Neurospora crassa OR74A: one gene and its partners. The protein of the gene in region 1 interacts with the protein of each later gene in a pairwise test. Links are inferred from orthologs where the notes say so. Each region holds a gene or a part of one and is shown in the gene's direction. Other genes may lie near its edges.

Region 1 (4,851 bases):
ATCCATCACATCACATCAACTTAGTTACACCCTCTCAACAACCCACCTCCACCATCCCTCACACCCCGGCCCCTCCTCTTCTCCCCCATTACCCAGCACACTCCCCCCCATCACCTCCACCTCAATATCAAACTCCACCATCTGCCGAAACTCAAACCTCTCGCTCCCATACTCCCCCAACCAATCATCGCCTTCCTCCTTCTCCCCCGCTGTGACATCATCCTCCTTGACGCCCGAATCCAACAATCCCTTACTCCTACTGACTCTAATCCGCCCCAGCTCCGCTTCCAGTTCCTTCTTCACCAAAGTCGCAGGCAACGCCGTGAAAAGGTCCAGTTTATTCGCAGCGATGAGCACGGGGATCGAAGGCGGGTGCTTGCTTCCTTTCGTGTAGCGGCTGTAGCGGTGTTGGAGAGATAAAAGGAGGTCGTACAGGTAGGTGGCGGCTTGGCTGAGACTGGAATCGGGAGAGGAGGGGGAGAGGGTGGATGCGTCGAGGAGGAAGATGACGCCTTTGATGGGTTGGGATTTGGAAGGCGGAAGGGGACGGCCGGTTTTGGGGTCGAGAGGGAGGAGGTGGGAGAGCGCGGTGGAGCGGAGTTTGGGGTGGCCTGGGGTGTCGATGAGGAGAAAGTTTCGCTTCGGTTGGTTCTCGGAGGGAGAGGAAACAGAGGAGGAGGAGGAGGAGGAGGAGGAGAAGGGAGCGGCGGCGTTGAGTTTGATGGAGACGGGGGTTTGGGAGGTGTGTGTCTTGGCGGGCTCGGTCTTTTCGTCGGTTGAGGTAGAGGTGGAGCGGCCGGCGCGCTTCTCGAACAAGGTCAGGAGGGCGGTCTTGCCGGCGCCGGAAGGACCAGCGAGTAGGATCGAGGGGAGTGAGGAGTTCTTGGAGGAGGAAGAGCCGGATTCGTTGCCGTGGAGGACTTGGTGGAGGAAGATGGGGAAGAGCAAGACGATGAGGAGACCGGTGATGATGACGGTCTTGTTGGGTTGGAGGGAGGCGATGAGCAAGTCTTTGATGAGCTCTTTGATGTTCGAGGTGGAGGAGGGCGTGCTGGATGCTGCCGCGACGGTTGCGGTTATGGTTTCTATTGTCGTGTCCATGGTTGCGGTAGAAGCTTGCGCTACTTCGGACACGTTGCGCGGGGGTTTCGATCGATCACTTGCTTCTTGTCTGTTTAACTTCGGTTGAAATGTAACAAGGAGATTCGTAGATGTTATAGTGACATCCCCCTTTTTTTGGTTTGGTTTGTTGAGACGCGTCGTCGGTTGTTGAGATGCGCGTTGCAGGGGGGGGCCAAGAGGTCTCGACTCGGGGTGTTTTGGTGCCGAAAATGACACCATCGTCATTCGAGATAAACGACCAAGTTCCCGGCAGACGACGGTCTCCACAGAAGATTGGGGTCCTGTCCTGGCGCCCCACCAAAGGGCGGGCCCTGAGCTGGACCTGTCACACTCACAGAGACACCGCGCGGCTCTCTGGCCCGTTGCGTGCGGTTGCGGTTGCGGGCCCGGGCTTCAGGGTTGGCTGGGGACGAATCAGCACAGTGGGCGTGGCAGTGTCCGTGCACCCCGACCACAGGGCACACTAGCTGTCACCGAACCCGCAACCTACACCCGCCGAAAACAACGAAGACTCGGAGAACATTGGAAAGACGAGGGGATGCGATCTTTCTACCAGTCTACCTATCGCATGTGTCAATGTCTTTATCGACATCTCTGGTCCGTGGCAGTGTGAGACAGATAGCCAAGGGCTGCCCGATAAACCCAAGACGTCCCTGGACCCTGAACTGGTCTCTCTCCGCCGCGGCACCTCGGGCAGTTCAATCCCCCGGAGGAAGACCCTTGCAGCACACAACCGAAGCTGCATGTTAGCGGAGACATCAACCAGCCACCGCAGACACGGCGATACCGGATGTTGACACTAACAGGCAACGGGTATTGACGACAGTCCACCATCAGTTCAAACTCCATGCCCGGAAGCCACAGCCAAGTCAAAGTCCAACACCAAAGTTCCCGTCTTCGATTCACTTCCACTTCTCAAGTTGGCGACTCGGACACGGCGGAATCATCAGCCATTCCCATCCATCGCCGACGGTCTCTTTTCTTGTTGATCTTTGTTAATGTGTATTTCGACTTCCGGCCTTGTCCCTAGAGTTACTGCGAGCTTCGAAATATTTTATTCCCGTCTTTTTTTCCTTGTCGCGACTCGTCGCTCCTCGTCTCCAGTTGCTGCGCCCCGGTGGTGGTCTCCCCCTCCACGCCGACTCGTACCGTCGCCATCTGTGCCCTCACATGATAGACACGACAACTCGACACACTCCGACTACTACCACTACCACTACGATCCTGATCCTCGACCTCCGAATACCGTAAACCTTCTTCGCCGACTGATCGAACGATTATATTTCACCACCGCGATCCCACAATGGTGCACCACGACGGGGCCGACGCCCATGCCGGCCATGCCGCCCCCGCTCAACCGCCCATGAAATCCGACACAGCAACTCCCAAGCTGAACAGCGAGGTCGAGCTCGGTAGCCTCCCCAGCGAAGCACATAACGATATCATGCAAATGGCAAGGGTAGGCGACATTACCGGCATGGAGAAGCTCTTTGCGGCCGGCGAATACGATGCCACGTACTCGGATGACGAGGGCATCACGCCTCTACATGTAGGTCCAATCCTCTCCTACACTCCTACTTCGACACCCAGCTGACCCTGCTCTCCTTCTCGCAGTGGGCCGCCATCAACAACCAGTATGCCATGTGCAAGTTCCTCATCGACAAGGGCGCCGAGATCAACAAGAAGGGAGGAGAGAGCGTCGCAACGCCTCTACAATGGGCCGCCCAACGATGCCACTACTACACCGTCCACCTGCTGCTCCAGCACGGCGCCGATCCCTTGATCACCGATTCTCAGGGGTACAACACACTACACATCAGCACCTTCAACGGCAACGTCCTGCTCATCGTCCTCCTCCTCCACCAAGGCATCCCCGTTGACGTCGAAGATGCCTACGGTCATACAGCTCTCATGTGGTCCGCATACAAGGGCTTCCCCGCTTGCGTCGATGTCTTTCTCCGCTGGGGAGCCAGTGTCCACGCCAAGGACGAGCAGGGGTTCACGGCACTACACTGGGCCTTGGTCAAGGGAAGCCCGGGTTGCATCCAGAAGCTGATTGAGTACGGCGCCGACCGGTTCGCAAAGACAGCCAACGGCAAGACCCCCGCCATTACGGCCCAGGAGCTCAACACGGTTGCCGCCTGGCAAAAGGCGCTGGACGAGTGCGGTTACGACGAGCATGGCAACGCCATCGTCCCCAGCTGGCCTGGCGCGTCGTATCTCCTTCAGGACAGGAGGTCCTTCATGACCAAGTTTACGTTTCTGTGGCCGTTTGTGATGGTGTGGGCGACGATGGTTGTCATGGCTGGCATGCCTGTGTTCGTTGGAATCCCGTTGGGCGTCTTGGCGGGCTATGCCGTTCAGTGGGTGGCACAGCAGGTCATCGCTTATGCCCCGCCAGACATGAGGCAACTGCAGAAGACGCCTTGGATGGCTGGTATCTTTGCTGGGTCGCTGTTCTTGTGCATCATGAACTGGCTGCTACACATCTTTGGCAGCACAATGTTTGGACAGGATTCGGCAGTCATCCCCAACTTGCTGTTTGCCTTCTTCATCTCCATGACTATCTGGTTCTACATCCGGTGTATGGTTGATGATCCTGGGTTCGTGCCCAAGATGGGAGGTGTCGCTGAGCAAAAGGCCGTCATCGATGAGCTTATCAGCCTATGGAAGTTTGACGAGTCCAACTTTTGCGTTACCTGCATGATCCGCACGCCTTTGAGGAGCAAGCATTGCCGTAGGTGTCAACGCTGCGTGGCGAAGCATGATCAGTGAGTATATCGAATCAAAACTAGGTCAGAATGGGAAAGCTAACGGGGAATAGTCACTGCCCTTGGGTGTACAACTGCATCGGCGTCAACAACCACCGTCATTTCTTTTTCTACCTCATCAACCTTACTCTGAGTGTTGTCACCTATGACTGGTTGACCTACAGATGTGAGTCTGTCCCATCGCCCTCCTACAGACCAATTGCTAACGCAAGCAGACCTTTCCACCCTCTCCGAGACCGCCTCCGACGAGTGCAACATCCTTGCCCCCTCGCTCTGCCGCATCGTCAACGCCGATACCTACAGCCTCCTAACTGCCATCTGGGCCTCGCTTCAACTCACCTGGGTCTCCATGCTCCTCTTTGTCCAGTTCGTCCAAGTTTCTAGCGCGATGACCACGTACGAAAACATGCACGGCATCGACAATTACTCGGCCACCTCCCTCAACAGCTCCTTCACCTCCACCGGCGCCCCCCTCAACCCACCCTCTCTTCCCGCCCCCGGTCCATCCCCCGCTGCAGGCGGCGCTCGTCACGGTGGCCGCCACGCACACGGACACAACCACAAGCAAGGCTTCATCAAGCAATGGTCTCGGCTCCTCGGCGTCGACGCCTTTATTGAAACTGCGGCAGGTCGGGGTGCGACTACGGGCAAGGGATCCAAGAGGAACAAGCGCGGCAACCCCTATAGCAGAGGGTGCGTCACGAATTGTAAGGACTTTTGGTGTGATCCGAGCCCCATGTTTGGGAAGCATGAGAATGGCGCGGCGGTGTTGGGCGGTGTGCCGGTGAACTATACGGATATGTATGAGAGTCCGGGGGTCATGACATCTGGTGGCGGAGGGAGGAGGAGAGGTGGGGGGTATGAGAGCGTTGCTGGTGAGGAGGTGTAGATGGGAAGTTGTGTACCATGATGCACGGGGGTCTGGAGCTTTAGGGGTATTTGGGTAATGACATGGTCG
Region 2 (4,853 bases), about 810 kb from region 1:
AGTGGAGGGCTTGCAAGAATGGTGCCGGGGGCTGCTCAACCGAGAGATTTTATGCGCTATTATTTAACAAGTTCTTTGCAGTATTTTCTTTGGTGAGAGATACTGTCAAGCTGTTAGCGCACAGGAGGAGCTAACCGCAAATTGGCCCTGACTACTGAACAGCTTCAGTCCTGTTTGGGTATGGTTGGTCGCGCCATAACGCTGCAGACAAGGGGGCAGGTCCTTGTCCCTAGTGAAGACCCGGTCGGCTGGAGCCTCCTTTTCTCTTCCTGGCAGGTTGCCCCTGGTGCCTTGCGCCTTCGCCTTTGGACGGAGTGCCTGTTTGATGAGACCTTGAAATCTCTTGGAGCTTGACAGCTCACATGGACGGCCAGACAGCTCACCGGATTCCCAACTGTATCAATGTCGAATTCGTTGTAGCTCCGTGAGGCAAGGGAAAATCTCAGCGTGGCCGTGGTGGTATTGTATCGAAGTGGGTTTACTAATCAAAGCGATTGAATGATACCGTGCGAGCGTGGGTGCCTGAAATTTGTAAAGTCTGGTTGATTTCAATCGAGTTCATTGCGCGAGCGAACATTTACGACCCCAAGTCCGTCCGGTGGAGCCAGTCCGTGCACATGCATTTGCGTGGGCCGTCTCCGCTCTCCATCGGCGCAAAGTGCAATTCGTCCGCGGGGCCTTGCTGTCCGCCCGCTTACACGTCCCAAGACCAGGGCACTCACTGCAAAGAAGCAGGGTGACCAAGTCCACAGAGAACCCACAGTCTCTTTAGCTTCCACCTCCTGGCTTTTCTTGGTGGAGGTCTCGTCAGTCGGCGGGATATTCTTTGCATCCACTCTGCGAGAAGTCGACATGCGCCCATCAACCACGGGGGAGGAGCTGCACCCGAGGAATGGGGCGCAACGGAGCCTTCAATTTCAGAGATCCATGACTCCGGTGCCTTCGGCCAGGCTTGTTGAAGAGCTTGGCAAGATTTAACTCGTTTTCTTTCTTCCTGTTCCATCGGGGGTGCGGTGCGGTGCAGTCCGGTGCGGCGTGGCTAGTGCGAGGTGTCCATGTCCGCCGTTGAAATGTTGAAGATCAGAATCAGAGGGCAAGAAGTCGAAATAACTGCCCCAGCTTCAAGGTTCACAAATCCCTTTACTCCCTTCTCAAAAGTCCCGTCTTGTTCCATCATCCAAGCCCTTCGGCCCGCCATCCAGCCCGCTGTCCGCCGACCGGGCTCTCCTGTGTTATGGATAAAAAATCGTGAATTGGGCGATCTCTGGGGGTGGCAGGGCCTTCATACCCAAGATGGCAGCTTGTACAAGAAATAACAAGTTTGATCATTCTCAAACAGAAGATTTCTGTAAAACCACTAGCGCCTTGGCTGTACCGCGCTGCTCTTTTACTACTATGTATGTACTATGTAGGTGTAAACTAGGTATATTCATGCAGACGTGTGTAGTGTAGTGTGCTCGCTCCATTGGGGAGGTTTGCTGCACGCATCATCCATCCCGTCCATTGCCTGGGAGACCCGACTGGACACCAACGAACCTGGAAAAACCGAATCCGTTCCTCTGTACCTAGTTGTACACCACAACCTCAATCTGCACTCGCTTCCGCTTCCATTGACACCCGGCTCTTGGGGCTTTTCACTTCCACACTGCTTCACAGGACGACGCTTGACACGGCCTCCATTCCTTCCACCTGCCCCCAAGCGTAGACGTACCCGGACACTAGTACAGGCTAGGTAGTACAGGTAGACCCAGTGCAGGCCTCCCGTCACTCTGTGAGGAGGTTCCGCTCTGCCCCTACAGTAGAGTACAGTAGCCCAGTGCAGTGCACGCAGCGACCCAGCAAAGGCTCCATCGTGCTACCCCCCGACCGGGCCCCTCCCCCCGGGCCCATACCCAATCTGGCACCAGGTAATAATCGCAAGGAAGAGGAACTCTGGCCAGCCTCTTCGTTCGCCAGTTCGATTCGGCCGCCCGCCCACTCGCAGAAGCGAAATCGATCCCCAGTCCTTCTTTTTCCCCTTCTTTCTGTTCTTCACCACCGAACTCCTGTCGATTAGCGACAGCCTCTCCAACTTGCTTTTACGACCTGACAGTCACTCGCGTCGGTCGCGTCGCTCGAGACTCTCTTGTCCATCACTGCCCTGCCACCCTCTCTCGAAAGCTGACGCCACGCACGCCTGCCTTTAGTCTCCATACTCTAGGTTGTCAGGGTCGCTCTTCGCCTGGTCAATATCCGCCATCCACTCATTCGTTCGACAAGAGTCTGTCCGTGGACAAGCAAGAGGCTTTTCCCCCCCAATCCCTCTCCACCACTCTCCTCATTTTTTCCAACAGCAGTCATTTCGTTCAGAGCAGGATCGGGACCTGCCTCGCCTGCCTAGCTGTTTGAATTGGCCCACCACCGCATCGCCCGACCCCTGGAGCTAGCAATTCCTCCTCCACCGGCGCCCCGTACCAGCACCACTGCTTTGCACCATTCTCAACATCCACACTCCAGCAACCGACTCCGACTTGCTGCATCTCTGAAGATCCGACGTCCCTAGAGTCCAACCTTTGTCATCGTCATTCTCCCTGTCTCAACCAGTCACAACAACATCACTTCGGAGTAGTCCGTCCCTCATACGAGTTCGTCGCCAATTGTGATTACGAATTGAACCAACACACCTCAAGAAAAAAAAAAAAAGAGAAAGATGGACTCCCGATCAAGCGATGTGTCGCCAGAGGCGATGCAGGCACGAATTCAACAAGCGCGTCGCGAGGCCGAGAATCTCAAGGACAGAATCAGGCTGAAGAAGGAAGGGCTCGCCGATACTTCCCGTGAGTCCCCTTGTCGGCAGGTCGCGAACTGCGCCGTTGTCCGCCCATGCATGCCGTCGTCAACGGCGGATTGACCGCTGCATAGTGTTGCTGACATGATGTGTAGTCTACGAGGTCGCGCAACAGGCCCATGAGCCACTTCCGAAGAACAACATGATGAAAACAAAGAAGACGCTGAAGGGCCATCTGGCCAAGATTTATGCGATGCACTGGTCTACCGACCGGAGGCATCTTGTCTCAGCATCTCAGGACGGCAAGCTCATCATCTGGGACGCTTATACGACCAACAAAGTTCACGCCATTCCCCTACGATCGTCTTGGGTTATGACTTGCGCCTATGCCCCGAGCGGCAACTTCGTTGCCTGCGGTGGTCTTGACAACATTTGCTCTATTTACAACCTGAACTCGAACCGTGATGGCCCAACTCGTGTCTACCGGGAGCTTTCAGGTCATGCGGGCTATCTCTCTTGCTGCCGTTTCATCAACGACCGCAGCATCCTCACCTCCTCCGGCGATATGACATGCATGAAGTGGGATATCGAGACAGGAACAAAGGTTGTTGAGTTCGCCGACCATTTGGGCGACGTCATGAGCATCAGCTTGAACCCCACAAACCAGAATACCTTTGTGTCAGGTGCTTGCGATTCTTTCGCTAAGCTTTGGGATATCCGCGCTGGCAAGGCCGTACAAACATTCGCTGGCCACGAGTCCGATATCAACGCCATCCAGTTTTTCCCCGATGGCCACTCTTTCGTAACGGGTTCCGATGACGCTACTTGCAGACTTTTCGATATCCGCGCAGACAGAGAGTTGAACTGCTATCGCGTGAGTAACCTGTGGATTATTCTCCTCTCGGTTCTTGATTTTTTTTTCTCTTGGTGGCTTTAGAGCTAACATTTGGGTAGTCCGAATCTATTCTTTGCGGCATTACCTCTGTCGCGACATCAGTCTCTGGACGTTTGCTCTTTGCCGGTTACGATGACTTTGAATGCAAGGTCTGGGATCTTACTCGCGCTGAAAAGGTTGGCTCTCTCGTCGGTCATGAAAACCGTGTCAGCTGTCTGGGCGTTTCCAACGATGGAATAAGTTTGTGCACAGGCTCTTGGGACTCCTTGGTAAGTTTCTACCCGCAACATCAGATCGATATGGTACAGGCCGCAGATTAGACTAACTCCCTCACAGCTCAAGGTCTGGGCATATTAGGCGCATGTGTGATACTGATACGACCGGCACCCTCTGGATACCCGACCACGACGCGTCACTTTGCCAAGCCTATCGAGTGCTTTTTTCTATTTGTTCTATTCAACCTGGTAACGCCTCTTGATCCTTGCGATTTGGCGTAGACAGGACGAAGTCACGACATATTTTTCGACCCAACAATCTCGGCTCCCCGGGCTTGGACCATCATCAACTGGCCTTGCTCCCCGGTTGGAATCCTTTTTAGCTTCTATAGCGGTTTTTCCGATACTCCACTCGATTTGCTGCGTCATATTTTCAGCGGGTTCAGTTCGCAAGGTGGGCGGCAGCGATATCCTGGCTTTGTTCAGCTCTCCGTACGCCAACCCGCCTCTCCCCTCCAGAAAACGTCCCCCCGGATAATATGATCCGACACGTTCATCAACTTCGGGTCGCGTAATTCCCCGGGCATTATTACAGGGACGTCTGTACCAGGTTTTTTGGACCCGGTTTGGCTGGAGCAGAACGTCCAATAATCATCAAGGTCTGGCTCGACGGGTCGTATCATATTCCACATGAGTGGTTGCCAGTGTCTCTCACAGGGGTTGTGTCTTGAACCAGTTTACCGGATACCCTCTCTATACGTATTTATCCACATCTTTGCGCGCATTTTCTCAGCGTTTGGTCTTTCTCTAGTCTATTACCGGCGGGGTGGGTAGGAAACCGTCAGGGTGTCTATTTTCACGTGTGTTGATAAAGTAGGCCGGGAATGCAAAACGGTCCCTTTGTCTTGTGTTTTTCGCGAGAAAGAGGCGGGGATCGGCTCACGAGTGGCGACGGTAAACAGCAGTTGCGGTAAAG
Region 3 (4,342 bases), about 2.3 Mb from region 1:
TGCACTTTGAGGCTTAGTTGGAACTTGGAACAGAATCGTGGTGCGAACTTCGGTCGAGTATTGAGAAGATAATCCCCAGTAAGAACATATATCCTCCTAAAAGGCATATGATATCGCTGCTTGAACTGCTAGAGTGGCTGCAAACTCTTCTCCTGTAGCTGAATGCACACCAGCAACTGCATAGGACTTCACGGTCTGTGATTACTGTAGTGTACATACATACATACATACATACATGCAGAAACAGGAGGCTCTCCTCTGTACCCTCGTCGTCCCACCCAGAGCGTTCAAGCTCGCGTCCATCATCGGTCGGAGCAAGTGGGCACCCACCCAATGGCGCCATTCCCAATCCCGTCCGGAGATGCCTGCTGAGCCGGGGTGGTTCCGCTAGACCATCAAAGGGGGGACGATAAAGTGGGGGCGGAACCCGTCGTGTTCTGACTGCCCTGCATTTGCCATTCTTGCTGCAGCTTTCATGCACAGCAGCACCGACAGATCCAAAAAAGGTCCCGTCGGTTGGTCGGACTAGTCCTGTCCCTGCCTATCCAGCGGCGGTGGCAGCAGTCCATCTTCAACGGCCTCCATCGTGCTTTTCTTTTCCTAGATCTTGACCTCCAGTCCCGCTTCCAGAAGCTTGCAACAATGTCAATCACAATGGCACGGATGGGGCAGGACAATAGGGAGGCCGGCACCTCATCCTGAATGCGGAGCTCGTGGTGATACTTGCTATCTTGTCTTGATACTAACTCGTCTGCACCCATTCCGTCTACGGTCGTAGTTAGTGTCGAGTTAATCTAACCAAACCCTGCTAAGCGACCCCCTGGTCCGTCTCATTTGCACTTGGCCCTTTTTTTCCTCGTCGCCCTGGGTTGCTTTGGCTGCCCAGAAGAGGAGTGCAGCACCGAAAGCGACCAGCATTGCAGCAGTGCAAGTGCAGGTAAAAGCGCAGCACTGCAGCAGGCCAAGCAGGGGGAGACTGGGGCGTCCATGCCTGCTGGGGAATTGCACGGACTGCACCCGCCTACCGAACCGTTCCCTGCTGCGCTGCTACTGGTTCTACAGGCTGCGCACTGACCCCCGTCGCGGTCCGGGGCCCGCCAGTGGCACTGAAGGAATGAAGGAACTTCCATATGGGCGCCCCTTCTCTTCCCAAGACTTGCTATTAGGAATCGTCAATCGTGTGTCGGTCCTAAGCATTCCTGGCATCGTTGTCCGCAATTCCTCCCTCTCTTCAATCCTCGGGACAGTCAATGATCCATTTGCGCCTTCTCCGACCCTTCGCTTAACCCAACTATCGACTGTCGACATCATCACCTTTTCCCCGTTGCGTGCCAGGAGGTTGCCCTTTACCAAGAGTATCTGGTATGTATTCGCGATTTCTGATCGTTCCCTCTGCTTGCCGCAATTTTTCCAATTGCTCCATCGCGGCCGTCGCCCTTCATTTTTCACGTCTGGCACCTCCGTCCGTCCCCTTCGTGGCCGCCTAATCGCCAGCCGTCAGTAGCAAGGACAGAGGACCGCCGGGGGAGAAGTCCGAACTCCAACTCTTTTTCCATCTCGCCCTCACCCCCCCGACACGAGCAAGCATCAGCGCGACCCCGACCACCGACTGGAGTGAATGAATGGCGATTGACGACGACATCTGAACAACACGGCTGACACGACATGTCTAAACAGCTTAATTCCTATCGTTAAAGACCCACAGCACCACCGACCCCGAGTTCTACTTGCGACCCTTCCTCACCACCAAGCCTGTCCGAACTACTAGTTGTCGGCTTTTGTCGCAGCACCATTGTCGCCCACGTCCCCGACGACACTCCAACACTCCTTTAATTCCCACCCTGGAGTCGAGGCTTCGATAATATCAGCCAAAATGCCTCAGTACGCCTCTCGCGATGTCGGCGACCCGTCGCAAATCAAGAAGAACAAGCAAAGCATGGCCGATCTAAAACTCCGTCGATTGACCGAACTCAACAACCGACTACGTGAGGACTTGGAAAGGGAGAGGATTCCGGTTAGCCAGGCAGCCAAGAGGTGAGAACTGCCATTCGTTGTTGCTCGGGTCGTTCGGCAACATGTGCCGGTCGTGGTTCAATGAGGCTGACAGTCGTTTCTTTTCCCCTATATAGCATAATCACCTACTGCAACAGCACACGAGACTACATGGTACCAAGTGTTTGGGGGCCGGTGCCCAAGTCCGAAGACCCGTATTTGCCACAACAGAGCAGCGGGTGCTGCGTCGTCATGTAAATTGCCAACTGCGAAAAGCTACGACATCAATGCGGCGACAAAAGGGGAGGACATTCGAGTCACTCTGTTTAGCACGGGCGATCAGTTCAGCGTTTCGAAACAGCGATTCCTACGAAAGTCTTTTGGAGGGGCGGACACCGTCGTTTGCAAGCGGGATTGGATCCGGACGGAGTTGGTTTGGAAGGCCGAGAACGTTATCGGAGATTATGAGCGATCAGATGTGCATCATCGGGACGGAAAGAAGTCGGCATTGTTTGCGGTTCGTCCTTTTCGCCGCCATTATCACGATACGTCAAACCGGGGAGAAAGGTTTTGAGGAGTGAAGACACGACGGCTGGCCTGACCATAATGCTTATTCAAATACCCCCCATCCGTTACTTCGGATCTACGGCAGGCAGGCTCGGCAGACTCTTCAGCATGTAATACCTTTTTATTTTTCTATATTTTCTTTCCCTTTTTTTTGCTTCTTATTCCCCGGTTGTACTCTTTTATACTCGGCCTTCTCGATTCCCTTTTTTGTCTTTTACATGTGTATATCCTGCTTCATGAAGCGCTTTTCGCGCGGCTTCCTCTTCTGGGTCTGGAAAGGAAGGGGCTTACGACATGATAAGTGAGGCAAATGAAATGCACTAGACTATCGATTTTACTCAAACTGATGATATTTGAATGAATGCATCAAAATAGCTCCAGTTTCCTCATCAACGGAATTTGATATCCTATGTGATGGATTGCTGCAGTTGGGTCGAGAGATAGACATTGAAAAATGTCTCTATCAGTGCACTTAACGGTTGGTAAATCCTCACATAGTAGTAATCCATTTTGGGGATCTCGCACTGGTTGTTGATGAACTCATGTTTAGTTCGGAGGCGTGATGACGCACAGGCGATTCGGGGTGCGGAACCCATCCGATGGAGCTGAGTAGGTATGTACAGCTCCAGGATTTAGCCGTTTCTCGTGTGGACTTCCCTCCAAATCACATGAACTCCCACTTACACGCCGCCACCTAAAACCGACCAGAGTGAGAAAAACACGCAAAGTCCATAACAATCAAGAGGCCTCCATCTACGCGAATATATATACATGTACATCACTCTCATTCTTGACATAGCATTTCCCAGTACACACAAGGATAATGGACCAATCTCCTACTACTACCAGTGCCTCGACTCCAACTTTACTTCCTCGTGTTACCATCCGCTTTTGTACGCAGTGCAAGTGGATGCTTAGGGCAGCATATGTGAGTAGAAAGTTTCCTGAAGATATCAAGTACTTTTCAGACGCTTCGAGTCTCGCCACTGTCATCTATTCACCGTCTCGGAAGAGGGTTTCTGAATTCCCTAACCCCCACCTCACCCTCCCACTTCACCTATACCATTCATCATCCACACTTTCACCAATCGCGTTCCCGTTAAATACACATGAATCACATGAACCTCAGCTACATCTCCAAAAATTCTAACCCCCCTTCTCAAATACAGTACGCCCAAGAACTCCTCTCAACCTTCTCCACTTCTCTCGGCGAGGTCGCTCTCCAGCCCTCAACAGGCGGCACTTTTATCGTCGACATCACTTACGCCGCCGCCGCCGCCGCCGCTGCTACCACCGCCACCACTCTGGACAACCGAGCTTCTACCACCACTCCCGAAATACAGCAAAAGACAATCTGGGATCGCAAAACAGACGGCGGCTTCCCCGAAACCAAGGAGCTCAAGAGGCGGGTGAGAGACGTGATTCAACCCGAGAGAAATCTGGGGCATGTTGATCGGGATTATCATTCCAAGAAGCAACAGGAGCAGCAGCCGGCTACGGAAGAAGCTACTATGGAAGCTATAACAGGAACCAACAAGTCTACGGAGGCTGATGCTGCCCCCCAGCAGCAAAGTACCTCTAACAACAAGACAGAGTGTGCCGATTGCGATAACTGGATGACTGAGGAGACTTACAAGGGAGGGGATTTTGAAGGAGGACATGCTGGTGGGAGTGGGGCGAGGCAAAGCGGAGAGCAGAGTAGTAAGACGACCGGGGAAGGAACTGGAACTGATACGAGGGGAGGTAGCGGAGAAAAGAAGACGGCTGATTCTAGCTGGATGAC
Region 4 (4,981 bases), on another chromosome or scaffold:
CAGCAGTGTCAGTGGTCATCTGCACGGGGCCGAGACGGCGACCCTCGAAGCCCTTCTTGCGGAGCTCAGAGGTTCTGTCTGTTTGCTTGTTAGTAACCAGACCTCACTGAGAGATCGATATCCGGGACTGAGCTTACCTCTCGGGGGGTCGTCACCTATGACACCATGCAGTCAGTATTAATCACTCATCAAACACTTTCCATTTTCCAGGAAAGACATACCCAAAATACCGCCAAACAGGAAAACATCAAAGGTGTCGCCATCCTCAGGGCTCAAGTCCTTCTTGGCCGCGGGATCCAGCAGGCAGACCCTGCTCTTGTCAGCAGCATAGATCTCCTCAACACCGCGGTTCTCAGCCTTGAAGGCCGGCACAGCGGCCAGGGCCTCGGGGACCTTGAAGCCCTGGGGCAGGGAAGTCAGATGGAACTCGGAACCGATCTCTTGCGATTCCTTGGCGATAGCGAGGTACTCGAGCTCGGACCAGGGGCCCAGCTCCTCATCGAGGTGCTCGACGATGTAGGTCTTCTTGGTGGCGGCCATTACTACGGTAGCTGGAGTAGGAATTCAAAAACCGGCTCAAAAGTTGTGCTGGGACCAAGATATTCAAGGATATCAAAAAGGTCAAAGTGAGGGTTAAGTTTGTGTGTAAGTGTTTGGACGATCTCACAAGGCCAAGACTAACATTTTCTTGGTGGAGCTTTCTGATGGCTTGGTGGGGTTCTCCGTGCCAAGATGGACGGCATGCCGTAACGGTGATTCAGTTCGGCGATCCGGGCCCGGGTTGCCTTGCCCGTTCTCGGAAGCCGGCCCCGCAATGTCTTATATCATCATTCCGGCAGAGATCCCGGCGGTAGGGGCTGTCCGAACTGAGGGATCATGTACATGTCTGATTGTTATGTCTAATTGTTGTCTCATACACCTGGGGAGAGTGTGGATGAACTTGTAATCGTATATACGAGGAGCTCACGCTTGACTGCCGAGATGAGTCGTGCTCGCGGACAATCGCTCGGTTGTTCAGGTCTGGGCCGATTTTATGAGCAGCTGTTCAGTTCTTGCCGATATCCGGATTTAGAAACTTTCGTCTGATGTTTTCCTCTAGGGCTGCTCTTTGTCAACCATCAGGGAGTAAAGTTGTCGAAGAGGTTTACACTCTGTCAAGTCATGTTAGTGGCTGAATAAGGCTCCGTTTATTCACGTCCAGATGCGGTGCCTGAAGATCTGGAAACAACCTTGGAAGCTCTCATAGCGAGTAAGTTGGTGTGTAATTAGAACTCTGTCCCCGATTCCATAACTATACAATAAGTTCTTGAGGCATTAGAATATAGCAGACAAGGACATTAAGAGTATTATCTTTCGATATCGACATTGCTTAGGTTGGATAATCGAAGGAAGGAGAATGGAACTGGCTTGCGCGTCCATCCACGAGGCGCATGGACTGAGTGACTGCATGGAAGAGAAGACCAGGCCCCCCAGCTATGTGTTAAGCTAGCATACCGGGATCGCCCAATACCACTAACAGGGTCCCTTACTTGTAATGAGATTGCCCCCTGTGAGGTCTAGCTGAAATGGAACGCCACTATCCGTGCCGCAGTGGCATTCATCCCACGTTGTACACTATTGTCCGTCCGCCCCAAGGACAGATTCCCTCTTTACCGTTTCATCCATGGATGCTGTCTCGGAGCAACATCTCGACCTTTTCAGAGTTCCTACAACTTTTGCCGTTGTCGTCGGCCTTCTTCTATCCTCCCCCATGAATGTGGTTGGTGGTGATAGGTAGCCAAACTTACGACAATTGTCTCCTCCTCCATCCCACCCACCACAACTGAACCCAGCGACTTGAGTCCAGTTGGTGATCATGGCCGCCACCACCACTACCACCAATGCTGGCCGGTCTATGGCTAGCTGGAAACGACTGTCGACTCTAATCGCGGCATTCACGCTGTCATGGACATCCAGCTTCGTCGCCGCTGCTGGCTCCGCCGACTACTTTGTCCATGATCTGCCAGGCGCACCAGATGGTCCTCTGGTGAAGATGCATGCCGGGTAAGTTCACTGTTGCTGCGCGAATCCAATATGTTGGGGAACACCAAGGCTGACATGTTCTCACAACTAGACATATCGAGGTCACCCCTGATAACAACGGCAACCTGTTCTTCTGGCACTTCCAGAACAAACATATCGCCAACAAACAACGAACCGTCATCTGGCTAAATGGTGGTCCTGGTTGCAGTTCCGAGGATGGCGCATTGATGGAGATTGGTCCCTACAGACTGAAGGACGAAAACACCTTGGTATACAACGATGGCGCATGGAACGAGTTCGCCAACGTCTTGTTCGTCGACAACCCCGTCGGCACTGGCTTCAGTTATGTCGACACCAACGCCTATATCCACGAGTTGACCGAGATGGCCGCCAACTTTGTTACCTTTTTGGAGAGGTGGTTCGCTCTGTTCCCAGAGTACGAGCATGACGATGTAGGTGCCACACTCTGAACCTCTTCGATTCGTTCTGTCTAACCGATTTCTCAGCTTTACATTGCCGGAGAGTCTTACGCCGGTCAGCACATTCCCTACATCGCCCAAGCTATTCTCGAACGTAACAAGAACGCTGGTCCCGTCAATCGCAAATGGAACCTCTCGGGCCTCCTCATCGGCAACGGCTGGGTTTCCCCCAAAGAGCAATACGACGCCTACCTCCAGTTTGCCTACGAGAAGGACATCGTCAAGAAGGGTACCGACCTCGCCAACAAGCTCGAAATCCAACAGCGTATCTGCCAAAAGGAAATCGCCGTCAAGCCCGACAAGATCGACTACCCCGAATGCGAAGCTATTTTGCAAGACATGCTCCAACTGACTGCTGGCGGCGTCGGCGCCAGCGGCAAGAACCAATGCTACAACATGTACGACGTCCGCCTGAAGGACGACTACCCCTCATGCGGCATGGCCTGGCCCCCCGACCTCAAGAGCGTAACCCCCTACCTCCGCAAGAAGGAAGTCATCAAGGCCCTCAACATCAACGATAACAAGTCTACCGGCTGGACTGAATGCAACGGCCAGGTAGGCATGAACTTTAACCCCAAGACCAAGCCGTCCATCACCTTGCTTCCCGACATCCTCTCCGCCGGCGTTCCCATCCTGCTCTTCTCCGGCGCCGAAGACCTCATCTGCAACCACCTGGGCACCGAAGCCTTGATCTCCAACATGGAATGGAACGGCGGCAAGGGCTTCGAACTCACCCCGGGAACCTGGGCGCCGCGGCGCGACTGGACCTTCGAAGGCGAACCGGCCGGCTTCTGGCAACAAGCGCGCAACCTCACCTACGTGCTCTTTTACAACTCCAGCCACATGGTCCCCTTCGATTACCCCCGCCGCACGCGCGACATGCTGGATCGGTTCATGGGCGTGGATATCAGTAGCATTGGCGGACAGCCTACGGACTCGAGGCTCGACGGGGAGAAGTTACCCGAAACGACGGTCGGCGGCGCAGCAGGGAATAGCACGAGCAACCAAGCGGCCGAGAAGGCCAAGTTGGAGATGGCCAAGTGGGAAGCCTACCGCAAGTCAGGCGAGCTGGTTCTGGTGATTGTCATTGTTGCTGCGGGCGTGTGGGGATGGTTTGTCTGGAAAGAAAGGAGAAAGACTGCTGGGCAGGGGTATATGGGTGTTGCTACGGGCGAGAGACATAGCATTTCTAACAACCCGGGACCTCGTGGGAACCTTAGTGGTGGTGGAGATAGGACGAGAGGTCAAGGATTGGCAGGTTTTAGGAACAAGAGAAGCGGGAGGAGGGATGTTGAAGCGCAGGATTTTGACGAGAGCGAGTTGGATGATTTGCACTTGAGCAAGCCGGAGGACCCGCATGCGGATAGTAGGTATAGCATTGGTGGTGCTAGTGATGATGAAGAGGAGCAAAAACCGGGGAAGGGTAGTTCTAGTAGGCAGCCTGGGGGGAGATCGTGATTAGTTAAGTGGTAGCTCTTGGGTGAAATGTTGACTTGGTTATTCTTATAGACTATCGGCGTTTCTGATATCCTTGGCAGGCAAGCTGGTACGGGTTTTGGCTTGGGTATTTTATGATACAGAAAACATCACACATTTGTGCACAGGACCAACGGTACTATATACAGAGGCATCTAACCTCAACGCGCCATGCAATACTTACACATTACATAAAATAACAAGTCACGTATCGTGATGTTAAGGCTTTAGGCAATTTGAGTACCATCTTATCTTGAGATTGATCTGCACAATGAACCATTCCAAATTGACGTAAAAACATCAACACCCCTTTTCCTATGTTCGCAAATCCTATGCCCCATTAATCAGAAGGGACCATACACGGTGAAGAACACTTTTTTGTGCATCAGATTTGACCCGAAAAGCATCCATGTGAAGACTATCGTAACATAACTAACGTAAGAAAAAAAAAAAAAAAAGAAAAAAAAAACCCCAGGACGAACATCTATCCTGAAGAATCTAGAAAGCAAATTTCATAGCCGGGTATCTTGTTGCGAAATCGTCGTGTGTCAGGCCTTACTTTCATGCTGGTGATAATTTGGCGCTGAACTGGTTCGTTCCACTTTCTCTTTTGGCATCCAACTGTTCTTTTCTTTTCCCTCCACATCACAACTGCGGCACGTTGTTGAGGATCGACACCTCCTCGCCGACCTTGAAGGGTGGGAGACCTAGGTAGGGGCAGCCTGTGTTTGTACTTTTGTTAGCCATACATTCTTATTCCTTGTCTAAAAGACAAGGCTGGGGAAGGGAAGGGAAGGGGAAGGGAAGGGAAGGGGAAGGGAAGGGAAGGGGAAGGGAAGGGAAAGGGGATAAAACATACCAGCACACCTGAAAGCATCTCCCAACGCACAGCTACCACAGCTCCCTGTCTTCCCGGGAACTGTCAGGTCCAGCTCCAGCAAGTCCTCGCTCTTGAGCTTGAGCGTGTTCAGCGCCTGGTCCGCCTTGTCCCTGCGCGCCTTGTC
Region 5 (5,008 bases), on another chromosome or scaffold:
CGTCTCCTGGGACGGCCTCGGTAGCTTGCGCGTTCTCTACGATGGGCTCGGGAGCTTCGTCCGTCTGAGTGGGAGCTGGCTCGACAGCTTCAGCATCTTCCGTAGTTACATGTGCGGTCTCGGTCTGTTCGGTAGCGGTATCGGGGGTGTCGGTATCAGTTTCACTGGTTATTTGGCTCGTAGCTTGCGCATCAGTCGCGGGTAGTGTCGTATGACTGCCTGTTCCATAGTCGGGAAACCAGGAGTCAGAGGCGCCATTCTGGGCGGGCACGTCCTCTTCTCCTCCATCAATTCCCCAGAAGTCGGAGCCATCTTGGGCTACACCGTTCGCATGATCTGTTGAGTCGGCGACGGTGTTATCAGTCGGCAAGGGGGCCGGGAGGTCGGCGGCCGATTCTGGCATGAATGCCGGGTTCCATGAAGCCATGGCGGGCGATTAGATGGCGCGATACAGCTGGGGACGCTGTATGGGCGCGCAAAAACACAAAAAAAATATTGAATTACTGTATATAATAAGTAAGATTAGTACATGAAGAAGGGGAGAGAAGGTGGGAATATTTGAAGATGGAGAAAGGGTAGTATTTGTTGTTGGCCAGGAGGAGCTAGCTACAAACAGTAGAAGTGGGAAGTCCAGGATGGGGCGAAACTCGACGGGATCGCTTGATCGCGTAACGAACCGAACGGCGATTGGCGACGGGATTGAGAATGGGGAGCGGACCTGGGCAACTGGGCTGCCCTGTTGAGGAGGAGCCTCAGAGGACTGCGGGCAAGACAACCCCTGTTCAGCAGGCCCAGAGTGCGCAATTGTCGAATGGGAATGGGAATAGGGGCAAGCAAAAGGGACGACTAACTTGTACAAGTAGGTTCAGCAGCTGATCATGGCTGTCAACATGAGGAAGAAAGTCTAACGCCGGCTGGATTTCGTCAATGACAAGGAAGAGGGCAATGCTGTCGTCCTGTTTGTTACTACAGATCTGGGAAACGTTGGGATGGAATGGTCGATCACACGTGGGAAAGGATCATAGTATGAGACTGCGCGACTGCAGAACCTCAATGGAAGGCCAAGTTCAGTTGTTGCAACTTGTCAAGATCCAAGACTGTGACGATGGAGGCGCACCGGGAGCGGCCGTCGGAAGATTCCTGGGAAAATCCGCGGAAATCAAGACACAGAGGTCGCAGAAGGTTGACTGCTGCCCTGTCTGCACAATAGTACACTACGCTACGTGGTACATTTAGGCGGTCTGATATATGGATGGCGGGGAATGCGCGGGGATCTCTAACAAAAAACGTTACAACAGCTGTCCTTCCATGTTACATGGATGGGGAAGCAGTATACCTACTTAGCTTATCGGCCTGTCCCAGTGTTGAGAATATACTCAGTTATTTAGGTGAATTCGATGGATGCCGGTAGGTACTGCTTTAACAGATAAGCGCGCTCAGTCCCTCCTCCAGCATCATCACAGCCACTGCACGAACTTGGACGCACCAGGAGGGAGCCTGTCATCGATGGGTAGGTAGGTACCTCTAGAGTGGAGGTACGAGGTACGGTATGAAGAGCAGGCCGCGCACACAGTCCGATCACTGCCACTTTACCACCACTTTCAGTTCAAGTTGTTAGTTTCCGTTCCGAGTCCCCGTTTGTGACTTTCTTTCCGTCACATGCCATCGTCATCTCTCAGTTCCCTACCTCTACCTAGTTGATGTGCCCGCGGACGACTTGATGAAAACATTGTACGAATCACTACCATGACTGGACTATTTTCTATCGAGTAACTTGACACTATCTCGACTCCCGTCCCCTTGCAGGCGCAGCACACCCGACCCCAGAAGCACGTAGCACCCAGCAGCAAGACAGACGCACCTAGACTACCAACCACGGCCACTATGGGAAGGAGGAGTTGATCTCGACACCACGAGGACCCTCCCAAGTGACCCCTAACTCAACCCAAACAAACCAACCACAGATCCGAACGCAGTCGCGACCACAGCCCAAGCTACCCTTAGCTACAGTTAGGCCGCGACAGATCAGACAAAAAAAAAACAAAAAAGGACAACACGACTCAAGAGCATACGCTATCTAGCTGTGGAGGAAAAGGGCTTCGCCCAATGCGGAATGCCTTCTTCAGACACATACCATCTCTCCAAGCCGCCCGATTCCCACGTCGTCGATGAATCCGACTCCGACTTGGAGATAGACCTCGAAGAACTCGACCCCCAGGCAACCGACCCCAATAACCACCACCAGTCCTTGGGGCAACACCGCAGCCGCAACTCGTCCGAACAACGCCCTCCTCCCCCAACAACAAGTATAGCACTTCGCAATCTTCGCATGGGGAGTCTACGCCGTGGCGCCAAACGCAATGGATATGGCGAGCTAGGCCGTAGCCGGGACGGAAACGACGACGACGACGCCGACGCTCTGCTCCGCCATGATCGCCACTCGGTTGGCAGTGCCACCCACGACGAGGATGCCGGCCTCCTCAGCGAACATGGTGGTGGCGGCCGAATACGCACCAGCAGTGGAAGACGACGGAGGTCTTTCGCCGGTGACGGTCTTCGAAACATCTCGATGAAGCTACCAGGCTTCATGTCGGGCGACCAGAGCAACCATAACGACGAGCAGGAACAGGAGGAAGACGACCCCTCATCGTCACGATTAGTTGCAGTTGGCTCATCCCAGTCTACCCGCTTCCCACCCAACATCATATCCAACGCAAAGTACACAGCATGGAGTTTTCTGCCAGTCACTTTGTACAACGAGTTCTCCTTCTTCTTCAACATGTACTTCCTCCTGGTCGCCCTCTCCCAGGCCATCCCCGCACTACGAATCGGCTATCTCTCCACCTACGTTGCACCCTTGGCATTTGTCTTGTTCATCACCCTAGCAAAGGAGGCTTACGACGATATCGAACGGAGAAGAAGGGACAACGAGGCGAATTCCGAAGAGTACACCGTTCTGCAGTTCGACGATCCAGGCGCTAGTCTAGGCATCAACCGGCCTAGGAGGAAGATGAAATCGTCTCATACACGAACGGGCTCTAAACGTCTTGGCATTGAGCAGGAAAATGATCGGCTATCGGATATCCAAGAGGAGGAAGAACAGACTGAAGGTCGGGGTCTTCGCGAATTGCCGGCATCCTACCTATCCGAAGTCAGCAAAAAGTCGCGGGACCTCAAGGTCGGTGACGTCTTGAAGCTTACCAAGGGCCATCGCGTTCCGGCAGATGTTATCATTCTCAAGTGCTTGGCACACGAATCAGCTGCCAACAAGGAGACCGAAGAGCAAGAAGTACCCGCGAAGGAGGAGATGCTGCTCCTGGACCATGTCGATGATGACGATGTTGGAGAGGGCAGTTCCAAGAATGCGAAAACGTCCAAGGAGAGCAACAATAATGGCGCCGAGGGAAGCTCTAGCGGCGAGACTTTTATTCGGACCGACCAACTGGACGGTGAAACTGATTGGAAGCTGCGGTTGGCGTCCCCGTTATCTCAAAACCTTAGCACTGAGGAACTAGTTCGTCTCCGTGTCACGGCCGGAAAACCTGACAAAAGGGTCAATGAGTTCGTCGGAACATTGGAACTTCTTCCTTCGCGACAAGATGTCATGAGCGGTGCCGCCTACAACCCTAGGGAGGGCGACGATGTCAAGGCAGCGCCTCTCTCGATCGACAACACGGCCTGGGCGAATACGGTCATCGCATCGAATGCGACAACCCTCGCAGTGATTGTTTATACCGGACCTCAAACCCGGTCAGCCCTGTCTACATCACCTTCGCGATCAAAGACCGGCCTTCTAGAGTATGAGATCAACTCACTCACCAAAATCCTTTGCTTCCTGACGCTCTTCCTGTCTATCGTTCTTGTTGCGCTGGAAGGCTTCAGCACGGCCAAGGGAAACATCTGGTACGTGAAGATCATGAGATTCTTAGTGTTATTCTCCACCATCGTCCCCATTAGTCTCCGTGTCAACCTGGATCTCGGCAAGTCTGTCTACTCATGGTTTATCCAAAGAGATCCTGGGATTCCCGGGGCTGTCGTGCGAACCAGCACGATTCCGGAGGATCTGGGACGGATAGAGTATCTACTGAGTGACAAGACGGGCACTCTAACCCAAAACGAAATGGAAATGAAAAAGATCCACGTCGGCACTGTCTCGTATGCCAACGAAGCAATGGATGAGGTTGCAACCTACGTGAAGCAGGGGTTTAATCTGAGCTCATCGGCCTCTTCCGCAAGCTTGGCTTTGGCAACCCCGTCTTCAACATACTCGGCCGCCAATGTTGGTGCCACGAGGACACGCCGAGAGATTGGGTCGCGTGTCCGTGATGTCGTACTAGCTCTTGCCCTCTGCCACAACGTTACCCCAACTTCGGAAGAAGACGAGAACGGTCACACCGTCAACTCATACCAAGCCAGCTCGCCTGACGAGATTGCCATTGTAAAATGGACCGAGTCCGTAGGCTTGCGTCTGGCTCACCGAGATCGCAAGAACATCGTTCTCGAATCCGCCGAAACCGGCCGGCCAGTGGTCAAGGTTCGTATTCTCGACATTTTCCCCTTCACTTCGGAGGGCAAGCGCATGGGCATCATTGTCCAGTTCTACGAAAAGCTCCAGCCCGGGAACCCCAGCCTCGGCAGCAGCGAGATTTGGTTCTACCAAAAGGGTGCGGACACTGTCATGAGCTCCATCGTCGCTGCCAACGACTGGCTCGATGAGGAGACGGCCAACATGGCGCGCGAAGGTCTCCGCACGCTCGTGGTCGGCAGGAAGCGTCTGTCTCTGAAGGAATACCAGGAGTTCTCGGCCAAGCACCACGAAGCCTCGCTCGCCATCAGCGGCCGCGAAGCCAACATGCAGGCTGTCGTCTCGCAGTATCTCGAGCATAACCTGGAACTGCTTGGTGTGACGGGCGTCGAAGATAAGCTGCAAAAGGACGTCAAACCTTCTCTAGAACTTCTTCGAAACGCCGGCATTAAAATCTGGATGCTTACAGGCGACAAGGTCGAA
Region 6 (5,060 bases), on another chromosome or scaffold:
TGTTTACTATGGATTTACCTGCGTTCGGCATACATTTGACCGAGCGGACAAATTCGAGGACTGGTTATGGATTCAAGTCGTCGTCATCCATGGGCGGTGCCTCCGAGGTGGGAGGGAGTAAAGGAGGAGGAGAATGAAGACAAGGGGTTGTCCTGAGGGAAAACCCGCATGTTGTGCTTGCGGAAAATCGACTGATGTGTTCTTTCCCCTCCTCCTGCAATGTTCTTCCTCCAAATCTTTGCCCTGTGATCTTGTTTGGTCCTGGTGTTGAGTTGTCAATCCCGTCTTGTCGTCGAGCAGCTTGAAGTCAAAAGTGGGGCAGTTGCACGGTGAAACTTCACCTTGGGTTCACCGGACAGTGCCCACCGAATTTTTCTCCTTTAATAACATCAGCACGAATTACCAAGCGCTTTCGCAACAGACTTCAGAGCTTTGAAACAACATCTTGAGCTTGGCCTATTTTAAACGTCCCGACTTTTCGTCCTCTCATTTCTACTTCCACAACCACCAACCAACCAATCATCCTTACAAAGAGATCCTTCAACATGTCTGACAGCAAGCAAATGAGCCAGCAAGAGGTTTCTGCCGAGTTCACTTCCTACTACCTCCAGCGAGCAACCAAGGAGTTTGCCGAAGACCTGGACAAGGTGCGCACGGCTGACGACTTCAAAAACGATGCGATCCACCTGCTCGTGAACGCGCTACAGCAGGGTACTGCGCTTTTCTCTCCCGAAGAGCAGAGGAGGATAGTCGAGTCTGGGGCGGAGAGGAAGTGATGAGGACGAGCGACGCAAGTTTTGAAGGGAAGGGATCACGGAGGTTCAGGGGAGTTGGAGGTTATTTCTTGCGTGATTGCAGGAAGATCCGAAGATGGGAGGTCGTCTCTCGATAGCGGGCATCGAGCCGAGCAGTCCATCGGTTCAAGACGAGAACTGAAGGCTTCGACGGACGTAATCTTTGAGAGGCCACGCGAATCCTTTCCACGTCAACCTGTCTATCGACATGACACGACTGGGGAGAGACTGATTGGTTGAAGCAGGAGCTGTTCACCCACACGATCACCCGCAGTCGGTTCTACGACCATAGTTGGAGAGTAGAGTCAGGCGCAAACCTCAAGGCCGCGGAAGATAGGCATGGAATACCCGTAAAAGCATAGAACATGCGACCAAAGAAGAATGATATGCTGCACAAGATTGATAACCTGATAAATGAAGTCAACCGGTTTTAAATATGGCTGGCTGTTGTACAATTTCTATCCAACAGAGGCCGTTCATACTGAAACGCGCATTCCGATGCCTGGCTGTTTCTAGCGTTATCATTGTAACTGTAAGTAATCATAACCATGACAACATGGCCGAGTGGTTAAGGCGACAGACTTGAATACCGCCTTTATTCAGCTATCTGTTGGGTTCGCCCGCGTAGGTTCGAACCCTACTGTTGTCGAATTTTTTCGCCTTTTGAACCATTTTTTTCCTCCTTCTGTTGGCTTCAACATGTAATTTCACTGATGTATGTGAGATAGATCTCGTTTTCAATTTATTTTTTGGGCTTTGATTGCTAGCTAGACCCTGGACATACAAAAAAATGCCCCTTGGTTTTCCAAAGATAAAGACCCAAAAAGTCTATCGATGGGAACACCTTCCACACGTAGACACCAACCTGCCAAAAGAGACACTGCAGTTTACGCGGTGATAATGTACTTCAAAACCAGAAGGCACGGCGGAACTGAGAGTGGAATACTGAATGGTAACTGACACTCCCGCCTCGACTCTCTACATTGCTCAATGTATAGATATGTACCTATGTACTTTATAATAGTATGTTTACCCTATCCATGTCCCTCCCGTACGGGTGGTTCGGGTTGAAGCTCTGCCGAAGTACGGTGCTTCAGATACACCCAGTATTACTTCCAGTCTGTGTACAAATCAACACTGCTAGCTGGGCAGGTCATTTGATGTCTCAAGTTCAATACCTTTGAAAGGAAGAATAATTTGGACTGGATCACTGCATAAGATTATGGACGGTGAAGAACTGCCGGTTATGGTAGACCCCTCCACTCCACTTCCGACCAGCGACTTATCCAACACGGACGGGGCCAGGGCTGACCAACGCTCCCCACGGCCGCGACGGAACCCCGAGAGCCCGCCTGTCAGCTTTAGTCAACGCGACTACACAAGCTTGGGGTCGGACCTTACTCCTGACCGACATTCGACGAGGGGCCGATTTTTTTTTTTGATTTTTTTTTTTTTTCTCTGAAAACGTTGGATCATCATCTACCCAGGTTACGTACCTTGCAGCCATAAGACCGATCAGGAAGCACTAAACGTCGGTGCTTGCGACAAGGCGGTCATACATACCTGCTACGCCCACGACCCCCCCTCCGCCTTCCTCGTTCGACAGGACAACAACGCCAATTGTCCATTATCCATCAACGGCCCGAGTCCTCGAGACGCTGTATGACATTCAGAGACGATCGGGTTCGCATACAACGGGCGCTCGCAAGTTTAACATTGGACGTGGAGACACCCTCTCCTCCATCGACGGCGCATCTTATCTGGGTTCTTCCTGAACGCAGACCGACCGCGGACCAATCTACCACCCGGATCACGACCTCACACACACACACGAATTCGCATAATGGCAGCCCAGACACTGCCCGCCTCCGGGGCTGCCGTGACGTTCAATACCCAGCGCACGCGTGCATATCTCCTTAAGCTGCCACTTTTCACAAGAGCCACGGTGCTAATCATTGTCCTGACATGGGTTCTGACGTTGGTCGGCAAGTCATGGAACTGGGACGTCAAGACGTGGGGCGCGTTGATACCGGACGAGATTGGTATTGCGACATGTAGGTTCTATTCGGTTTTTGTTCTTCGGTATGGTCATGCCAGGGAGTGGCCAAAGTGGAGGACCTCGCTGAAGGGAATGGGATGGGAGGGAATCCTCAATTGGACGCAGAGCACGCGCTGGTAGCGGACACCGCAGATACCAGACAGCAGTCCTGCGGGATGGCAGGAGGCTTCACATTCTGAAATGGGTCATGCCTCAACGCTGGCCTGTGACATGAGACCTGCCCGAGCACACCTGCTAACACTCTTGGCAACAGTATATCGCATCAACACATTCCCCTTCATCCACCTAAACATCTTCCACACAATACTCAACATTGTCGCCTTTACACCTCTTCTCGAGCGGTTCGAGCATGAACATGGTACTTTAACCTCTGTGGCGCTCTTCTTTGGCCGTAAGACACCCCCCTCTCATCTCCTTGATATTACCCGGGGCCACAACTCACACGTTTGTTCTCCTCTAGCATTCGCAACGATACCGGGCCTCATCTACGTCTTCGTTGAAAGGTTCATCCTTCACGCCAACACGCCAGTCATGGGAGCCAGCATGTGGGTGTTCCTGCTGCTGGGCATGGAAGCTATTCGCACCTACAAGACCAACCCCTACTTCACCATCAGCACCTACAACATTCCTACGTGGATCACTCCTTTGTTGTTGGTGGTGGTTACTGCTGCGTTGCTGCCGAGTTCGAGCTTCCTCGGGCACTTGGCCGGTCTGCTTGTCGGTTATGGGTGTACGTGTTTCAATCCCAACTGCTCCCCTACCTACGTTCATGTTGAGGGGGGGGAAAGCTATATTTGCTAACATGGATGATAAACAGTCGGCCTAGGATACCTCAAGTTCCTCGCCCCTCCTGAGTGGGCGTTGCGGTTCATCGAAGGAAAGCTCAACCTCTTGGGTAGACTGCCTCACTACGTCAGCGTGGATCAAAAGACTTTTGGCAGATTCGGTGTCCTCCCTTCCTCTGCCTCATCAGCCGAGGCTGGCATTCCGTTTTCCGGGGTCTCTGGTGGCCAGCGATTGGGACCTTGAAAGAAATACGGGTTCCCGAAATATGGCGTACATTACGTGCATGAGTAGAAGAGCATGGAAGTTTGAATTGGTGCATACGAGGCATGCGTGTCATGAATAATGGATATAGAAAGGAATTTTACTGTTAATGTATGATGCTGTACGACTAAATACAGGGCCGGGGGAAAATGGAGATGGTAGTTGCATGGCGTTCTCTGGATATGAATCGAATTTCCTCTTGGGATTTGAAGCCTGCAAGTCGAGTCTTATTAGATTTGATGAGTGCCAATCATTCAGCTTGAACACGTCCATGGATGATGAGTACGGGGTCTCAATGGTCTTCAAAGTTTCGTAGCGTCATAAAGAAGCTCGAGTCATTATGGCAAAGGTCGCGAGTTATCCAGATGTAAGAAATAATATGTTATCACTTTGCTTTTCCAACCCTTTTCACGCTTACAACAAAGAAATTTCTATTCATCAGTATACTTATTCCCCTGTACGGTAGTAGCGCCGTCCCAAATAATGGCCCAAAAATTCCCTTCCTATCCCCAATTTCAACCTCCTTCCCCCCCCAATGATCAGCCTAGCCTAGCCCACAGCCTCAATCAAGCAGCAGCAGCAGTAGCAGCACCCTCCTTTTCCTTCCACCCCAACTCCCTCAACGTCCAACCCTTCCCCTCTGGCGTCTCAGCCCCCGCCCCCTCCTCCGGCTTCACCTCAAAATTAGCATAGCAATAAAACTCATTGCTCAACCCCCTCGCGTGCTTAGGCTCAAACGTAGTAGTCCTCAGGCCGTAGCTCTTATACAGCTTCTCCGTGACCAGCGTCTCCATGCGCTCGCCCGTGCAAGCAATGATTCTGGGCTTTTCGCCCTTCTCCTCCGATTTGAGCATCCACCTTACCGTCAACGCAGCCTTGGTCTGGCAATCCTCGCTCAAAAAGGGAGGATCCACAATGACGCGGTCAAAGGCGCCCTTGAGGTGGCTTGGAAGCTTGAGCGGCTGGGCGAAATCGTAAAAGACGAATTCGTCAGCAAAGACGGCGAAGCGGTTGTCGTGCTCGAGTAAGGTGAGTTTGGGCTTGGGCTTGTCTTTGTAGGCGTCGCTGTTCAAAAGGTTCTTGAGCTGAACGAAGACGGAGGGGGCGGAGACGACGGCGATGGAGGTGGTTGGAGTGGCGCCGGCGAGGAGTTGTTTGGC

The links.
Region 2: the proteins of NCU08218 (region 1) and gnb-1 interact in binary tests that used the Saccharomyces cerevisiae proteins (3 or more experiments, as listed by UniProt). The link is inferred for Neurospora crassa OR74A from reciprocal best matches to the Saccharomyces cerevisiae genes AKR1 and STE4.
Region 3: the proteins of NCU08218 (region 1) and gng-1 interact in a two-hybrid assay, tested with the Saccharomyces cerevisiae proteins (2 studies listed by BioGRID). The link is inferred for Neurospora crassa OR74A from reciprocal best matches to the Saccharomyces cerevisiae genes AKR1 and STE18.
Region 4: the proteins of NCU08218 (region 1) and NCU04316 interact in binary tests that used the Saccharomyces cerevisiae proteins (3 or more experiments, as listed by UniProt). The link is inferred for Neurospora crassa OR74A from reciprocal best matches to the Saccharomyces cerevisiae genes AKR1 and KEX1.
Region 5: the proteins of NCU08218 (region 1) and NCU03818 interact in a protein complementation assay, tested with the Saccharomyces cerevisiae proteins (2 studies listed by BioGRID). The link is inferred for Neurospora crassa OR74A from reciprocal best matches to the Saccharomyces cerevisiae genes AKR1 and NEO1.
Region 6: the proteins of NCU08218 (region 1) and NCU02371 interact in binary tests that used the Saccharomyces cerevisiae proteins (3 or more experiments, as listed by UniProt). The link is inferred for Neurospora crassa OR74A from reciprocal best matches to the Saccharomyces cerevisiae genes AKR1 and RBD2.

What each region holds. Positions count from the first base shown.
Region 1 is NC_026503.1:4,667,892-4,672,742, forward strand, and holds the start of NCU08218 (palmitoyltransferase AKR1), read left to right. Parts: upstream 1-1,643; 5' UTR 1,644-2,425; coding exon 2,426-2,671; intron 2,672-2,736; coding exon 2,737-3,893; intron 3,894-3,946; coding exon 3,947-4,059; intron 4,060-4,108; coding exon 4,109-4,782; 3' UTR 4,783-4,851. Other genes in the region: NCU08217 (SRP receptor beta subunit), read right to left, coding at 25-1,347. UniProt on the Saccharomyces cerevisiae protein: Palmitoyltransferase specific for casein kinase 1. Palmitoylates isoforms YCK1 and YCK2 at both C-terminal cysteine residues, which is required for their proper plasma membrane localization.
Region 2 is NC_026503.1:3,862,595-3,867,447, forward strand, and holds the start of gnb-1 (guanine nucleotide-binding protein beta subunit), read left to right. Parts: upstream 1-1,846; 5' UTR 1,847-2,689; coding exon 2,690-2,816; intron 2,817-2,922; coding exon 2,923-3,641; intron 3,642-3,721; coding exon 3,722-3,931; intron 3,932-3,998; coding exon 3,999-4,019; 3' UTR 4,020-4,853. UniProt on the Saccharomyces cerevisiae protein: Implicated in the a- and alpha-factor response pathway. The beta and gamma chains of the putative yeast mating response pathway G protein play a positive role in initiation of the mating response.
Region 3 is NC_026503.1:2,378,192-2,382,533, forward strand, and holds gng-1 (guanine nucleotide-binding protein subunit gamma), read left to right. Parts: upstream 1-1,182; 5' UTR 1,183-1,362; intron 1,363-1,677; 5' UTR 1,678-1,873; coding exon 1,874-2,034; intron 2,035-2,129; coding exon 2,130-2,250; 3' UTR 2,251-2,938; downstream 2,939-4,342. Other genes in the region: NCU00042 (selenoprotein domain-containing protein), read left to right, coding at 3,383-3,487, 3,729-4,342. UniProt on the Saccharomyces cerevisiae protein: Implicated in the pheromone A- and alpha-factor response pathway. The beta and gamma chains of the putative yeast mating response pathway G protein play a positive role in initiation of the mating response.
Region 4 is NC_026505.1:5,591,934-5,596,914, reverse strand, and holds NCU04316 (pheromone processing carboxypeptidase Kex1), read left to right. Parts: upstream 1-1,618; 5' UTR 1,619-1,855; coding exon 1,856-2,043; intron 2,044-2,113; coding exon 2,114-2,474; intron 2,475-2,528; coding exon 2,529-3,959; 3' UTR 3,960-4,178; downstream 4,179-4,981. Other genes in the region: NCU04317 (DUF431 domain-containing protein), read right to left, coding at 1-78, 138-155, 222-540; NCU04315 (dre-2), read right to left, coding at 4,623-4,699, 4,837-4,981.
Region 5 is NC_026505.1:2,510,312-2,515,319, reverse strand, and holds the start of NCU03818 (phospholipid-translocating P-type ATPase), read left to right. Parts: upstream 1-1,661; 5' UTR 1,662-2,113; coding exon 2,114-5,008. Other genes in the region: NCU03819 (COPII coat assembly protein sec-16, variant 1), read right to left, coding at 1-427. UniProt on the Saccharomyces cerevisiae protein: Flippase that catalyzes the hydrolysis of ATP coupled to the transport of lysophosphatidylserine, phosphatidylethanolamine, and phosphatidylserine from the lumenal to the cytosolic leaflet of the Golgi apparatus membrane and ensures the maintenance of asymmetric distribution of phospholipids.
Region 6 is NC_026507.1:2,721,119-2,726,178, reverse strand, and holds NCU02371 (rhomboid protein 2), read left to right. Parts: upstream 1-2,094; 5' UTR 2,095-2,637; coding exon 2,638-2,848; intron 2,849-3,106; coding exon 3,107-3,244; intron 3,245-3,313; coding exon 3,314-3,583; intron 3,584-3,670; coding exon 3,671-3,882; 3' UTR 3,883-4,293; downstream 4,294-5,060. Other genes in the region: NCU02370 (hypothetical protein), read left to right, coding at 546-776; NCU02372 (N(6)-adenine-specific DNA methyltransferase 2), read right to left, coding at 4,467-5,060. UniProt on the Saccharomyces cerevisiae protein: Probable rhomboid-type serine protease that catalyzes intramembrane proteolysis.